Linked DNA regions of Macaca fascicularis. The protein of the gene in region 1 purifies or fractionates together with the protein of each later gene. This does not show direct contact. Links are inferred from orthologs where the notes say so. Each region holds a gene or a part of one and is shown on either strand. Other genes may lie near its edges.

Evidence for each region.
Region 2: the proteins of EIF4E (region 1) and DDX3X purify together in Homo sapiens (co-immunoprecipitation; 3 studies listed by BioGRID and IntAct, with this or other methods). This does not show direct contact. The link is inferred for Macaca fascicularis from reciprocal best matches to the Homo sapiens genes EIF4E and DDX3X.
Region 3: the proteins of EIF4E (region 1) and ANGEL1 purify together in Homo sapiens (affinity purification with mass spectrometry; 3 studies listed by BioGRID and IntAct, counting the BioPlex papers as one, with this or other methods). This does not show direct contact. The link is inferred for Macaca fascicularis from reciprocal best matches to the Homo sapiens genes EIF4E and ANGEL1.

The regions. Positions count from the first base shown.
Region 1 is NC_088379.1:104,464,368-104,469,535, forward strand, and holds the end of EIF4E (eukaryotic translation initiation factor 4E), read right to left. Parts: intron 2,458-5,168; coding exon 2,343-2,457; 3' UTR 1,005-2,342; downstream 1-1,004. UniProt on the Homo sapiens protein: Acts in the cytoplasm to initiate and regulate protein synthesis and is required in the nucleus for export of a subset of mRNAs from the nucleus to the cytoplasm which promotes processes such as RNA capping, processing and splicing.
Region 2 is NC_088395.1:41,333,729-41,338,867, forward strand, and holds the start of DDX3X (ATP-dependent RNA helicase DDX3X), read left to right. Parts: upstream 1-1,466; 5' UTR 1,467-1,559; coding exon 1,560-1,604; intron 1,605-4,656; coding exon 4,657-4,714; intron 4,715-5,139. UniProt on the Homo sapiens protein: Multifunctional ATP-dependent RNA helicase. The ATPase activity can be stimulated by various ribo-and deoxynucleic acids indicative for a relaxed substrate specificity.
Region 3 is NC_088381.1:144,762,076-144,767,143, reverse strand, and holds part of ANGEL1 (protein angel homolog 1), read left to right. Parts: intron 1-193; coding exon 194-420; intron 421-836; coding exon 837-906; intron 907-1,493; coding exon 1,494-1,927; intron 1,928-3,820; coding exon of another isoform or gene 3,821-3,931; exon of another isoform or gene 3,932-4,033; intron 4,034-4,402; coding exon 4,403-4,529; intron 4,530-4,829; coding exon 4,830-4,940; intron 4,941-5,068.

The DNA.
Region 1 (5,168 bases):
GTTATTTCAAAAATTTAGAACTGTATACATTTAATGTGTTATTCCTCCTTTGCACCTAAAAGCTGATGTTTCTTAAAATTGGACTTCATTTTAGAATTAAGAAAATAGATCATTAACTTATAATAGCTACACCACTTCGGTCCCACCCATTGCCAACATACCACTAACAGCATCACTTTTAAGCAAACTCTTGAAGTACTCAAAACTATACATATTAATGTAGACAGTAAGTCAGCTTAACCAATTCCCCAAGTTTAACTAGCAGATATTACATACAGTATGCTGAGATTATAATAATAATAAACACAGAAGATTCAGTATTTCTAGAATACTGAACAAGAGGTGTTTATGGCATTGAGAGTACTGTGACAACCTGTGGTACCCTTTAAACTGCTTTAAAATTTTACAATGAAATCAGTGCTATTAATTTCATGTTTATTTCATACAGGGTTTTTGTCAAGTTTATCAGTTTTAAAATGATTAAGTCATAATCACCATTAAAAGACAAAATTTTCCTCTCAAACTAATAATTTCCATTCTGCTACCTACAGTTTGGCTTATCCTTTGGTCTGATAGCCATACTTCATTTCACAGGACTATACAAGTATGTACTATGTACAAAACATTTTCAAGTTTGCTTTCAAATGATACCTACAAAGAGTAGATCAAGTTTTCAAGTTTACAGAATACCATACTACAACAATTTACCACTATAAATATGTCTTAATACCTGTTTATTCCATTCTATTTAGATTGCAACACTAACAAAATTCTTAATGCATTATGTTCCCACCACCTGTACTTTCCCTACACTATCATTTTGACACTTACATAAAAACAACTCAATTCAGCAACCAAGTTTTACAACCACTGTTGCTACCAATCAAATGGTGATGCATCAGATCCCAATTCTCATGAGTATTAACATATTAAGAGAGTACATTATTTACCTAAGACTGAAGGACTGTGCCTTACTTTATAAAAAACAAAGATAGCCACATCAATTTAATTCCATATATATACTACCTATTCAATTTATTAAAAATTGTAATAAACATAATAATCAAACTAGTGCTCCAAACTTATGCTGTTCACATGGAAGACACCACAAAAGAAGACATAATATAGAGACTGCCTTGCAATAAGAAGTACAAATTCCTTCTATAAAGATGGAGAAATAAAAGGACAAATCTAGTTGTCTAAAAGACAATTCACTGTACACATTTTATTTACAGTTTTGTACACTGTCTTAATATGAATGGGACTGCTTTTCTACTTGAGCCATTTTTAACCAAAGCAAAATAACCTAAGTAATACAAAGTGTTAAAATACAGCATAAAGATACAAAAACAGACATACTAATTCTAGTTAGGAATGTAATTATGATGTTACATTTTTTATAATCCACAATTATGTTTAGGAAATCACACAAACATAGATCACTGATTTGAATGAAATGCATAAATTTGTAGCAAAGCTTTGTAGTTACAAAAAACAAAAAAAATTACCAAAGAATGCACAAAATTAATGTTTATTCCACCTTTGTGTCATATTCCTGAATCCTTCACCAATGTTACATGAGGAAAAAAACAAAAGCAAAACAAATGAAAAACTGAAATCAGAATCACTAATATTATCAAGTAGGGAAACAAATAAATTAAAATCTAGCAGCCATCAGCAAGAGTACAGCAAAGACAATGCTGTAAAAAGAAACAAAGAAAATTGCTAGAAAACTGTATGCATCATAATCTTTCAAACCAGCAAAATATGCTCCTGCATACAATGGAACAACAGAATTTTCTTTCCTGTAAAGTACAGTAATGCCAAGATGTCTTTTGACTATTGTGGATAGGTAGTACAGCAAAGACAATGCTGTAAAAACAAAGAAAATTGCCAGAAAACTGTATGCATCATAATCTTTCAAACCAGCAAATATGCTCCTGCATACAATGGAACAACAGAATTTTCTTTCCTGTAAAGTATAGTAATGCCAAGTTGTTTTTTGACTATTGTGGATAGGTAAAATCTGTATGTAATTAATGGTAATTCTACTGAAGTATTACAGAGTGGGCCAGGAACATATTTATGGATTCTGGGGATGTGTACTGTAATTCTTTGATTGGGATAGTGGAAACTTTAGCCAAAAAAAAAAAAAAAAAAAAAAAAGTGAACACAGAAGTACAAGACAAAGGCGAATGAGACTTCTCTTATATCTTAGTAACGTTTAGATGGAAATCAAATTTAAATGCAGTCCACTCTGCTTTTTGAAGAGGCTTTGGTTCAGCTCCCAAATCTCGATTGCTTGACGCAGTCTCCTATGAGAATACTCAGAAGGTGTCTTCTTAAACAACAAACCTATTTTTAGTGGTGGAGCCGCTCTTAGTAGCTGTGTCTGCGTGGGACTGATAACCAATCACTATCTTTGGAGGAAGTCCTAACCTTTCCTTGTATACCCTCCTAGAAGAAAAAAAAGAAGAAAAAAGTAGCCATTAATTTTTACTCATAAGAAGTAAATAAATTCAAAATTTTAGGGTTACTAGTCTTTGTATTAAAAAATATAGATGAGAGTACAATAGGAAATTATACACCCTTTTCCTTTTAGCATAATTTACTTTTCATTTTTGCGATATTCTTGGATAATTACTTTTAAAATATTGAGAGCCAGTCGGGTTTATTATTACTAAATTACAGGAGCATTACTATATTATTATACTGTTATTTATTATGATACTATAATTATTACTAAATCAATAGTGAACAAAGCAAGGACAGTCCCTGAGCTCACTGTATTTATAGTCTAGTAAACACAAAATCACAAATACATATGATGGACCTGTATTACATGCATACTTAAAACAGAAATCTGTATAACAAACATGTTTATTTTCATTCTTTGATCTAAAATGCTACATTTCACGTCTGAACCCTAGCAAATATTGTATATTACTACACAAATTATATTTACCATACCTGTTATAAGATTGCACAAACAAAAACTAAACACTTTGAGGGAGATTAAAATGAAACACTTCAAGGGAGAAAGTAATTTCTGCTTTACATACTAACTTTACAACCTAATTTTCAAGTAAGACATGACTCTACAGCAAGAATAAAATGGCACTTGTCATGAGTGCCAAAGAGTAAATACAAGGGCTGTAATAACAAGGAGATTCTAATCTCATCTACAAAATTAGAGAAGTCTTCCCCTTTAAATATCACAAGGTCAAAAGGATAATGTTAAGATAATGAGCACATCTGAAAGCTGAGAAATAAAAATCAGGCTGTGTGACTATGGCTTGTAAGTAAAGTGAATATGAGATAAAGCTGACAAGGTTTCAAAGAAAGATCACAGAAAACTTCATAAGTCACCTTAAAAATCTGAATCTTTAAGAAAAAATAGTAAAAATTGAAAAATAAGCAAAATCAAATAAAAATAAAGGAATAAACATATTAATGGAGTTAAATCCTCCAACACGATACTAGGATAGTTTTTTTTAATACCTTCCAGGAGATTTACTACCTTCCCCCTAAAATAAGGCATTAAAAAGTAATTTTATGGTAACTAAAGTGATAATTATCAAATTTGCATTATAATACATGCATTCCTTTCAATTATACTTAATTATTAAAAATACCAAAAGCCATGACCATTGAGTCATGCAAATTGGAACGGTTAAAAAAAGAAAATCTTTGTTTGAAAATCTGAAGTCTTAATATAGACTCAAAAACATTTAATAGTGACAAAAATAAAAAACTTCCATAGGAAAAAAATTCTTAATTAATCTAACTCTTGTTTTTTAAAAAAAAAAAAGTAAGTCCTCCAAAATTAGGTTTTGATGCTGGCAGAAACATTAAAATAAGATGACAAATCAACTCCTTTCTCTTATGGAACCCCATATAGCATGAAATGTAGAAAATCCCTATACCTTTTGACCCAGAAATAAATTATGTTCACAGAGAAATTTACATGGCTGAGAGCAGTGGATCACACCTGAAATCCCAGCACTTTGGAAGGCTGAGGCAGGTGGATCACTTGAGCACAAGAGTTTGACACCAGTCTGGCCAACATGGCGAAACCCTGTCTCCACAAAAACTACTGTAGTGGCTCAGGCTTCTGGTCCCAGCTATTCAGGAGGCTGAGGCAAGAGAATCACTTGAACCCAAGAGGTGGAGGTTGCAGTGAGCCGAGATCACGATACTGCACCCTGGCCTGGGCAACGGAGTGTGACTCTGTCTCAAAAATTAATTTTAAAAAGAAAAATTAATAATATTTGAAAAATCACAAAGGGACAAACCAAACATTTTGTGACCACTGACTGACCAGCACTTAATTTTAACATATTTTTTTTTTTTTTTTTTTTGGTGAGACGGTGTCTCACTCTGTCTCCCAGGCTGGAATGCAGTGGCCCAATCTTGGCTCACTGCAAGCTCCGCCTCCCAGGTTCACGCCATTCTCCTGCCTCAGCCTCCCGAGTAGCTGGGACTACAGGCACCCGCCACCATGCCCAGCTAATGTTTTTTTTTTTGTATTTTCAGTAGAGACGGGGTTTCACCGTATTAGCCAGGATGGTCTCGATCTCCCGATCTCGTGATCTGCCTGCCTTGGCCTCCCAAAGTGCTGGGATTACAGGTATGAGCCACCGCGCCCAGCGTCAAATATTACTAATATAATTGAGGTAAAAAGAAATCCTAGTTAGAAATGCCAGCTGGTTTAGCATGGTGGCTCATGCCTGTAATCTCAGCACTTTGAAAGGCTGAGGTGGTTTGATCAAGTCCAGGAGTTCACAACCAGTCTCGGCAACATGGCAAAACCTCTTCTCTACAAAAAATACAAGAGAATAGCCAGGTGTGGTTGTACACACCTGAGTTCCAGCTAATTGGGTGGCTGAGGTGGGAGGATCACCTGAGCCCAGGAGGTTGAGGCTGCAGTGAGCCGTGACTGCACCACTGCACTCTTGCCTAAATAACACAGTGAGACCCTGCTTCAAAAAAAAAAAAAAAAAAAAAAGCCATTTTTGCAAAGAATAAAATTTACAAAAAAAGGTTTAATAAAACCCTACATGTGGGTTTTAAACATCGAACAAAAGCCAAAGTATGTTAAATTTTAATGAAAATTATATGTAGTAAACACACATGCTTTAAATACACATACACTATTTGCCAATAAT
Region 2 (5,139 bases), on another chromosome or scaffold:
TAATTCCGTCGGGCTGAGGGTCAGAAGGGAGAGGGGAAAGCGGTCGTAAGAAACCACGGATGTGCGTGTGCCGGCTCAAAGCCGGGAATCCACTAGTAAACACATCTTCTTGTATTTAAGGGCCTGCGGCACCGAAGCCAGGACTTGGGGTGGCCTGCCTGGGAGGGGGCCACGGGAAGAGGTTCCTCCGACGGCAGAAACCTGGTTCCTGCCGTTCCTCATACACCGCAGCGGCCTGAGGGTCACCCCGAGCCCAGGCCGGTAACCCCGCTGCAGCCCCTCCTGCAGGCCCAGGTTGCACCGACCACAAACATTCCCGACACCCTTGGGCCCTAGAAGAGCCGTTCGCCACCCGCAGGCTCCCCGCAACGCCGGTGTTCACCTGCCCTAAGCAGCTGGGTGCCCAGCGAGAAGCAGCTAGGGGCAAATGTAGCCCGCATTCCTGCGGAGGGCAGGGGTCCCGGGAGGGCGCGCCAGCGGCGGCTCTGGATCAGCGCGTGACTGTCTCATTGTTCCCTCACCGCGGGGGGTGGGGGCGCGCGCGCACACGTCGGGGGGTTGGCCGGGAGGGGCCATTGTGTGTTTCTAGGCGGCGCCCCCGCTGCCTAGGCAACAGCGCAGGGAGGTGTCGGGCCACCAGCGCGCCGCCGGCTCCCCTCCATTTCCCCCCGACTCCCGCCCCGTCACCATCCTACCCTCCTCCCTCCTCCTTTCCCCTTCCTCCGCTCCCCTCTTTTTCCTCCCCCTCCTCCCCTTCCCTCTGTTCTCTCCTCCTCTTCCCCGCCCCCCCGTCCCGAGCACTCTATATTCAAGCCACCGTTTCCTGCTTCACAAAATGGCCACCGCACGCGACACCTGCGGTCACGTGGCCTGCCGCCCTCTCGGTTTCGGGACTGTCTGCCTAGCTCCGACTTCGGGGAGGCTACATGCGGAAGACCGAGGGCAGATTAGACCGGAGAAATCCCACCACATCTCCAAGCCCGGGAACTGAGAAAGGAAGAAGAGTGAAGGCCAGTGTTGGAAAAAAAAAAAAAAAGAAAAACAAAAAAAACCCAAGAAAAAAACCCCGAAAAACTAAAGCTGAGTGCATAGGGTTGGAAAGGGGAGCGAAGAGGCCTAGGTTAACATTTCCAGGCCTTTTAGCTGGTGGTAAACGGGAAACGCAAGTTCTCGCGAGATCTCGAGACCTCCGAGGCTGAGACTACGGTTTTAGCGGAGAGCACGGGAAGTGTAGCTCGGGAGAACTGGGACAGCATTTGGCGCTCCAAGCTCCAAGACAGGACTGCTAGGGGCGACGGGACTAAGTAGGAAATCCCGTGAGGTTAGACCTGAGGGAGCGCGCAGTAGCCGGGCATTAGTCGCCGCGACAGGGGATTGCAGTGTGAGAGGGAGGGCACACGTTGTACGTGCTGACGTAGCGGGCTTTCAAGCGGGTATATTAGATCCGTGGCCGCGCGGTGCGCTCCAGAGCCGCAGTTCTCCCGTGAGAGGGCCTTCGCGGTGGAACAGACACACTCGCTTAGCAGCGGAAGACTCCGAGTTCTCGGTACTCTTCAGGGATGAGTCATGTGGCGGTGGAAAATGCGCTCGGGCTGGACCAGCAGGTGAGCCGCAAGGACCCCACTGGGCTGGCTGCTGCGTGAATCCCTCCTCTGACCTAACCTGGCTAATGGCGCAGCGCTAACCGGGACCCTTACTTTTCATTTCCTGGGTGCCCCGGGGCTATGGAGGGACAGGAACGTTGGTTGGGGCTGTCGCCCGGGCCCGGTCTCGGCCCGCTGTATTGTCCCCGGGACGAGCACAATGGCGGCTTTTGTGTGTGCGTGCGCAGGCGGGCGGAGGGGGGAGGGAGTGCGCGTGCTCTCGCGGGGACGCGCATGCGCGAACCCCGACTGATTAGTGACCGGGGGGGTGGTTTGCGGGAGTGCGCAGCGCGGCGGGACGCGACTGGAGACCCTTTTGGCCTGGAGGGTTTCGGCCTTCACGGCTGGCGCAGCCTGGATTACCGTCTGGAGGACCCGGCGGCATTCGGTGTTTGCGTGCCTGCGAGCAAGGGGTGGAACGCGGCCCAGGAATGTGGGAGGGGGCGGCGCGGCGGGGAGGGGGTGGCCTTCGCTTGGGGTAATGGCGGCGGTCTCTTTTGTGTGGTGCTGGGAGGCGCTGTGGCTCACTCCCGGGAGACGGCGGGTCCCGGGCGGGCGAGGGCCTGGAAAGGAGGATGGAATGGGCGTCTTGTTTTTCCCGGGTTCCTTCCGCAGGCCTTTTCGCTTCAGCCCAGGTTCCGCAGGGTCCGCAGGCCCGGCGCCGCGGCCGGGGAGGCTGCGTTTCCGGAGTGGAAAGTTTTGTGACGCAGAAGATTGGGGAGGAGTGGGGGCGGGGAGGGGAGGCAGGAATGGGCCGCTGGGCTCTGAAGATAGAGGTTAGACGCGGCGGGGAGGTTAGCCAGCGAGGCCCTTTCTCCTCCTTGCTTGGCCCAGGTTGTCCCTGTGTGGCGAGTTAGCCGGGAGCCCCGCGTTTTTCTGGAGTGGAGGGGTCATCGCGGGTTGTGGGAGTGTCTTCATGTTAGTGACTTTGATCCAGGAATCCGCCTTTGGAAAAACACCCGGCTTTTGGGGGAAGTAAACAGTTTTGTTGTTGACTTGTTGCTGCCTGTGGAGTAGAATCTCGCGATGGGTCCGAGGCCCCCCCAGTCTTTTAGACAGAATCTCCTCTTCTAAGGATTTAGGGGCAGAGGAGAGGAGGACGTGTGATCTGAGAGAAGGTTTTGGGTTTTGGTGGCAGGAAGACTGCATCCCGCCGCAACAGTGGCACCACGTTTCAGATAAGCTCTTGTGTGGGTTATGCGGAGCCTTTAAATACACTTCTGATTAGGAGTTGATTTCACAAACTCCGGAATAATCCTGGGACTAAGTTTAGTGGCACAAATTAATTGAATACGTATTTTAATGTAGTCATATGTAATATTTTTTAGGAATTGATCTGTTCCTTTGGGAGCATTTTCTCCCTGTTAATGAACCAATTATATTAAATCCTCTAATTGTTGACACTTCATATGTTGAATTGAACACAGACATTTTAACAATCTACCAGCAGCACAGAGTATTCCCAGTTTTACCATTTTCCATTTAGCTACAGTGTCCTTTTAAGGATTCTAGGCAGCAGTGAACCTTATTTAAAAAGCAAAATTGTACTATAACAAGTGCAAAAGGAAAGTTTGTGGTTCTGCCGTGCTTTAAAGTATTAACGGTAGCAAGAGAAAGCGCGGTGGTGTTTTTTCTCATAGAAATTCTGGAAATTAGGTGCCTGAAGTCTTACACTCAGCATCTGCTTCCAGTTTTCAGTGACTCCATTGATGATGCCTGCAGTTTGGCAGTATCATACTGAGCTTTAAACACAAGATTTATAAACATGGTATATAGTGTATCTTTTGCAAACAGGTTGGCAACGGTACTGTGTAACTTGGTCTTTTGTGGCTTTTTTGAGAAAAATGAAACACTTTGCATGTACAGTTTTTTCCACCAACTACTTGTGAGTAGTTCCTGGTTAGTTATACAACGTTACGAAGGTAGCATATAACCCTTTTCAAGAATGTTGAGGCTTTTGAGATACCAGTGTAAGGGAGATGGGTAGAAATATAGATGAAAGGCACTAAAACGTCCTACTCCCTAAGAGCATTGAATGCCAGTTGTACCATTTATTCAAAGTCATTTTTGAACTTCTGTTACAATGGGGTAATAAACAGGTAACTACTTCAAGCCGGGCTCATGCTTGTAATCCCAGCGCTTTGGGAGGCCAAGGCAGGTGGATCACCTGACCTGAGGTCAGGAGGCCAGCCTGGCCAACATGGCGAAACCCCGTCTCTACTAAAAATACAAAAAGCCTAGCGTGGTGGCGCACCCCTGTAATACCAGCTACTCGGGGAGGCGGAGATTGCAGTGAGCCGAGATCACACCACTGAATTCCAGCCTGGGTGACAGAGGGAGACTCTGTCTCAAAAAAAAAACCAAACGAATTAACAGTCAAACTACCTCAGAGTTGTGCTTAACATAGTGTTTTGTGTAAGTGGTTGGTATATTGCTTTTTTTTGTTGTTCTTAAGAGTACTACCCGACTAAAAATACGTAGGCAATATTTGGGGATGAAGGAACTAAAGAACGGCCAATTCAAAATTTGTCCTGACATTTTTCAGGTGTGCTTTTTAGGTTTAAAATACCAGGTACTACAGAAAGTTGGCGTTGGAAATGTTTATGACTGGCACTAAAACGAATCCCTTATCTATTTGACATTGAAGAATAATTTTGAGGTTCAGTGTAAGCTTTAGTTTGGTGATTAGGGAGCCTGTGCTATGGAACATGTTGCAGTGAAAATTCGTTTTGAATGAATGAATGAAATTTGGACAGTTTCTACTGAATAGCACAAGCATCTTGGTGTACCGCCTTCTGTAGTATATACAATAGTAATATTTTGCATTTGCCTAGAGCGTTACAGATTTGAAAGCATTCTTAGTCACTTTCTCATTAAGAGTTGGTATCAGCCCTGTGAGGTGGACTGGCCAACTACTTGAATGCAGTGCTAGCAAATGCTAGAGGGCGCGACTAGTTTTCTCTTAATACAGTATTTGAGCACATGGGGTGCTAATCATCTCACTCTCTTCTAGTTTGCTGGCCTAGACCTGAACTCTTCAGATAATCAGAGTGGAGGAAGTACAGCCAGCAGTAAGTAAAACATCTTATGGATTTATTGAATATTAGAGCTTAATGTCTTAAGATTTCATTGGGCTTATTTAAAATTTAAGAAATTTGCCTTTCAATTTTTACTGCTTAAAGAATTATGTAGTCTTTGTGTTACAGGGTTATGTAGTACCTAGTGATCAATCTAAAGCATTGTTGCCTTTTTTTTTTTTTTTTTTTTGAGATGGAGCTTTGCTCTTGTTGCCCAGGTTGAAGTGCAGTGGTGTGATCTCGGCTCACTGCAGTCTCTGCCTCTGGGTTCAAGCGATTCTCCTGCCTCAGCCTCCCGAGTAGCTGAGATTACAGGCATGCACCACCACACCTGGCTCATTTTGTATTTTTAGTAGAGATGGGGTTTCTCCATGTTGGTCAGGCTGGTCTCGAACTCCCTACCTCAGGTGATCTACCTG
Region 3 (5,068 bases), on another chromosome or scaffold:
TAACCATGTCATCTGAAGAATGTCCATAGAGTGCTGCTCAATTACCCACAGAGAGGGATGGGTGACAGGGCAGATGGTAAAAGGAACTTCAGGCATAATATTACTGAGTCAGGAGTAATGGTGCCTGAGGAGATGGTGGTGCCTCTGCATTACTTGTACTTGCCATGGAATACTTCTCCCAATCCCTTTTCAGAAATTTTGTGGCGAGAATGGGAGGATTTCTCCACCCAGCCAGATGCTCAGGGCCTGAAGCCAGGAGATGGCCCTCAGTTCCAGTTCACTCTGATGTCTTATAACATCCTGGCTCAGGACCTGATGCAGCAGAGCTCAGAGCTCTATCTACATTGCCATCCGGACATCCTCAATTGGAACTATCGCTTCATGAACCTCATGCAGGAATTCCAGCACTGGGACCCCGATGTGAGTGAGGGGGGAGTTGCCATCTTGCATTGTTGCTGGACCTGGGCTGTTTCCCAGTGCTCTTAGAAGATGAGTTCAACCCCATAGTTGTTCAAATGATTGGAGTCCTATCTAGGGTTAGAGTTTGCCTGCCTGGTGTCAGTGAGTTGTTGGCAGATGCTGAGAAGAATCTCCCTAGGTGTGCACTTTCCAGCACCTTTATGCAGGAAGGGAGGCTTGAGGGATTCAAGGAGCAGGAAAATCCAGTGCACATGTCTAATCTCTTCAGCTTAGGTCTGGGCCTGCTCTTGCTGTTGGTGACTGGGAAGTTTCACTGTGACCCAGCAGCTTCCTACCTGGCCTCAGGACCTGCTCCTAGAGGGTGGGGGTCACATTCCAGCACTCCAGAGTGATTGGGTTTCTTGTCAATTTCCCAGATCCTGTGTCTCCAGGAAGTCCAGGAAGATCATTACTGGGAGCAGCTGGAACCCTCTCTGCGAATGATGGGTAATGCAGCTCCCTGGGATGCTTGCCAGCTTTTCTTTCTACAGCCTTGCCTACTCTCTCCTGAAGACCCCATCCTTCCCTTTTGTCTTGGTAAACCCTCAGTTGCACCTGTGAGCTAGCTCCTTCCATGTGTGCCTGAGAAAGTAGAATTCTGCAGTTTTAAAGCAATTCTGACATACATTGCTATTTGATCCTTGAAGTAACCAATGTGGTGAGACTGTTATTATTCCCATTTTACAGATGAGAAAACTGAATTTCTGAAAATTCGTGTGACTTCCTCAGAATCACAAAGCCACAAAGCTAGTAGATGTGGAGCTAGGAATCCAGCTTGTCTGACTCTAGATTCTGGGCTCTTTTCTATCATGTTACATTGCTTCATACCCTTCCCTCCTTGCCCTTCCAGCCCCTCAGTCACCTAGTTACAACTGTAAGGGGGAACCTGCTGAACCAAGGACGTGGCAAAGGCTTCTTTACTGAGTAGCAGGAACAATGCCTCAGGGGCACACACTGGGACTGCTGGTGCTGGTTGGAAGGGATTCAGGCTTTAAGGACTCTGACCCATCTCCTTGGTGGGGTTTTCCTTGCAGGCTTTACCTGTTTCTACAAGAGGAGGACCGGGTGTAAAACCGATGGCTGTGCTGTTTGCTACAAGCCCACCAGATTCCGCCTGCTTTGTGCCAGCCCTGTGGAGTACTTCCGGCCTGGCTTGGAGCTACTTAATCGGGATAATGTGGGCTTAGTGTTGCTACTGCAACCACTCGTCCCAGAAGGCCTGGGGCAAGTCTCGGTGGCCCCGCTGTGTGTGGCAAATACCCATATCCTTTACAACCCACGCCGGGGTGATGTCAAGCTGGCCCAGATGGCCATTCTCCTGGCAGAAGTGGACAAGGTGGCCAGATTGTCAGATGGCAGCCACTGCCCCATCATCTTGTGCGGGGACCTAAATTCTGTCCCTGATTCACCTCTCTACAACTTCATCAGGGATGGAGAGCTCCAGTACCATGGGATGCCAGCCTGGAAGGTGAAATGGGAGAGGCCACAGTGGGGGTGGGAACATGGTCTAGAGAGAGATTCAGCTGTGAGCATCAGTGCTGCTTCTGTGGCAGGGACCTCAGTACACCTGCTCTGGCCTGTTCCTCCTTTTTCTTGTTATGTTGAATAGCTTGTACCCAAGCCTGGAAGTTAAGAATTCTTGAGTACTTTGGCATGTTGGGATTTTTTTCAGTTTTTATCATTAATATTTTTAATTCACAAGTAGTACGTGAGTATGTACTTGGAGGAACTTAAGCATTATACAGTAAGGCACAGGCCTGTTTTATTACCCACATTCCCTTTCTATTCTCTTAGAGTCACATAATGACCGTTCTAAGTTTGGTGGTAGTCTTTTAGCTTGTTTTCTTTGCATTTACAGTGGTATCTATGTTCCTATGATATTGTAATCGGTGTTTACATTTGTTAAGCACTTAACTCTGTGCCATGTGCTATTTTGAGCACTTTATACTCATTAACTCATTAGTTTTCACAATTTCCATCATGGCTTTCATTTTATAAATGAGGAAACTAAAGCCCAGAAAAGTGAAGTAATTTGCCATAGGTTATGTGGGTAGTTAGTGGTGGAGCCAGGATTTGTAACCAGGTGGTCTGGCTGCAGAGCTCTTACCCTCAAATACTGTGCTGTGATTGCTTATAACAGCCAATATGCAATCTGCCATGTGTGTTTTATAAACATGATACACTACTATATGTTTCATTTGTAGCTTGTTTTTTTCCACTCAGCAATTTGCATATGGATCTCATTCCTTCTAACTGTTGAGTGTTGATGACAGACACCTCATAGTTTTATCAGCTTGTGCTGATTTCTTTATGTCACTTAATCTCCTTGTTCCTCTATTTTGCCCCTGCTGTTTCAATTTATTGACTAACTTTTGGCAAGGCACGATGGTGGAAGGACACAAAACGATTGAATTACTGTTGCGCACATGGGATTTTATGTAAATGAGCCAGATGTGTGCAGAGAAAGGCATGATCTTGCCCTAAAGGAGCTGTAATCAAGGAGCTCAGGGAACGAGGAAAAGAACGGACTGCCTGCCACATGACAGGCACTGTTAGGCATAGTGAATGAGAGCACTTGCTTTGAAGCCAGACAGTCCTGAATTCAGATCCCTGCTCTGCCACCTTGAGCAAATTACTTAACTTTCTTAAACCCAATTTGCCTCATCTATACAATGGGGGATATAATGGGACCTGCCTCAGAGGTGTTTTTTTGGGTGAATTAAATAAAATAATGCGTGTAAAGTGTTTTCCAGTATCTGGTTCAAAGTCAGTAACTGGTAGTGATATTAAGATTCTTAACTGTACATGGTATTATTATCCCATTTTATTTTTTTATTTATTTATATTTTGAGACAGAGTCTTGCTCTGTTGCCCAGGCTGGAGTGCAATGGCATGATCTTGGCTCACTGCAACCTCCGCCTCCTGGGTTCATGTGATTCTCCTGCCTCAGCCTCCTGAGTAGCTGGGATTACAGGAGTGTGCCACCATGCTTGGCTAATTTTTGTATTTTTAGTAGAGACGGGGTTTTACCATGTTGGCCAGGCTGGTCTTGAACTCCTGAACTCAGGTGATCCACCTACCTTGGCCTCCTGAAGTGCTGGGATTACAGGCATGAGCCACTGCTTCTGGCCTATCCCGTTTTATAGTAGGAGATATTGAACCCAAGAGAGTTAGCTAACTTGCCCAAAGTCACACAGCTATTAAGTGGCCATTGAATTGCAGATCTGTTTTACTTCAGATGACATATTGAAAATTTATGCCCTTATAGGGCAGGGGGATTCTGTCTATCACTACTCTATCCCCAGCACTTAGCTAGTGTCTTTTGGCTTTCAAATATTTGTTGTTGTTAAATGGCATAAAGGGACTTGCTACACACGTTGGAGATGTGCAGATGACTGATGTTGCCGAATGTTTCCCCTACTACGTTTTGTCCGTTCCCAGGCTGCTCATTGGCTTTGACCGAGGATGGTGACGTAGATACGGTAAAGTGCTTTGGTGCTTTCCCATTTGGTTTGACCCTGTGGTTTCCCAGTAATAGGTTCAGGATATTAGACCTTGATCCAGAAGATCCAAAGATGAGGATAAACCTTTAACCATTGCAACTTAAAGCCCCTGAGAGTTGATATTCCCTGTGGAGGAGAATTGTATTGATTTTTTGGAGGTAAAATTTAGAGAACCACATGTTCATACTATTCGATTCCCCTTGATTCAGTCTCTTATCCTCCTCCTGTTTCATGGACATTTCAGTGTTGCCAGTGAAAAAGTAATGGTTTTAATTTGGTCCTTATTTTTAACCTGCCCCTGAGACTTACATGCTTGCTTATACCATGTATGTAGTGTGTGATTGTGTGTGTTTGTATTTGTCCACATGTCCCAAAACATGGGCTGTTATTTCCTTTTTCTATCTTGGTTTCCTTATTCCCACCCTGCTCTTTCCTTGCAGGTATCTGGACAGGAAGACTTCTCTCATCAGCTTTACCAGAGGAAGCTGCAGGCCCCCCTGTGGCCCAGCTCCCTGGGCATCACTGATTGCTGTCAGTATGTCTCCTCCTGTCACCCCAAGAGATCAGGTGAGCACACGTCACATTCTTGGTTGGCTGTGTCTTCGTGTCCATTTTGGGAGAAAGCTGGTGTCTCAATGACAAGAAAAAGTGTAATCCCTCATTTCTCTTAGCATATTCTTCTGTTTTCTCACTGTCCTCCCAATGGCCGTCCAATAAAATGGACAACTTTAAATCACAGCCATTGGAAAATCTCCTTGTCTTCTGAATCCTTCCTCTGTGGATCTATGCTGGAAGTTGCTTGGTACTAAGGAGGTCTCAGCATGTTGCTTCATCTTCTTTCACTATATGGCTTTTCCTGGTTTACAGAGAGACGCAAGTATGGTCGAGACTTCCTGCTACGTTTCCGCTTCTGCGGCATCGCTTGTCAGCGACCAGTAGGATTGGTCCTCATGGAAGGGGTGACAGATACTAAGCCAGGTAATGGAAACTAATCCCAGTTTCTTGGTCTTCTTTCTTCTTCACTCCTGATGTTTGTCAGTTATGTGGTTTCCTGCTCTTTTCTAAGTATAGTTCTTAGAGATTAGCTTCTGGTAATACGTATACTT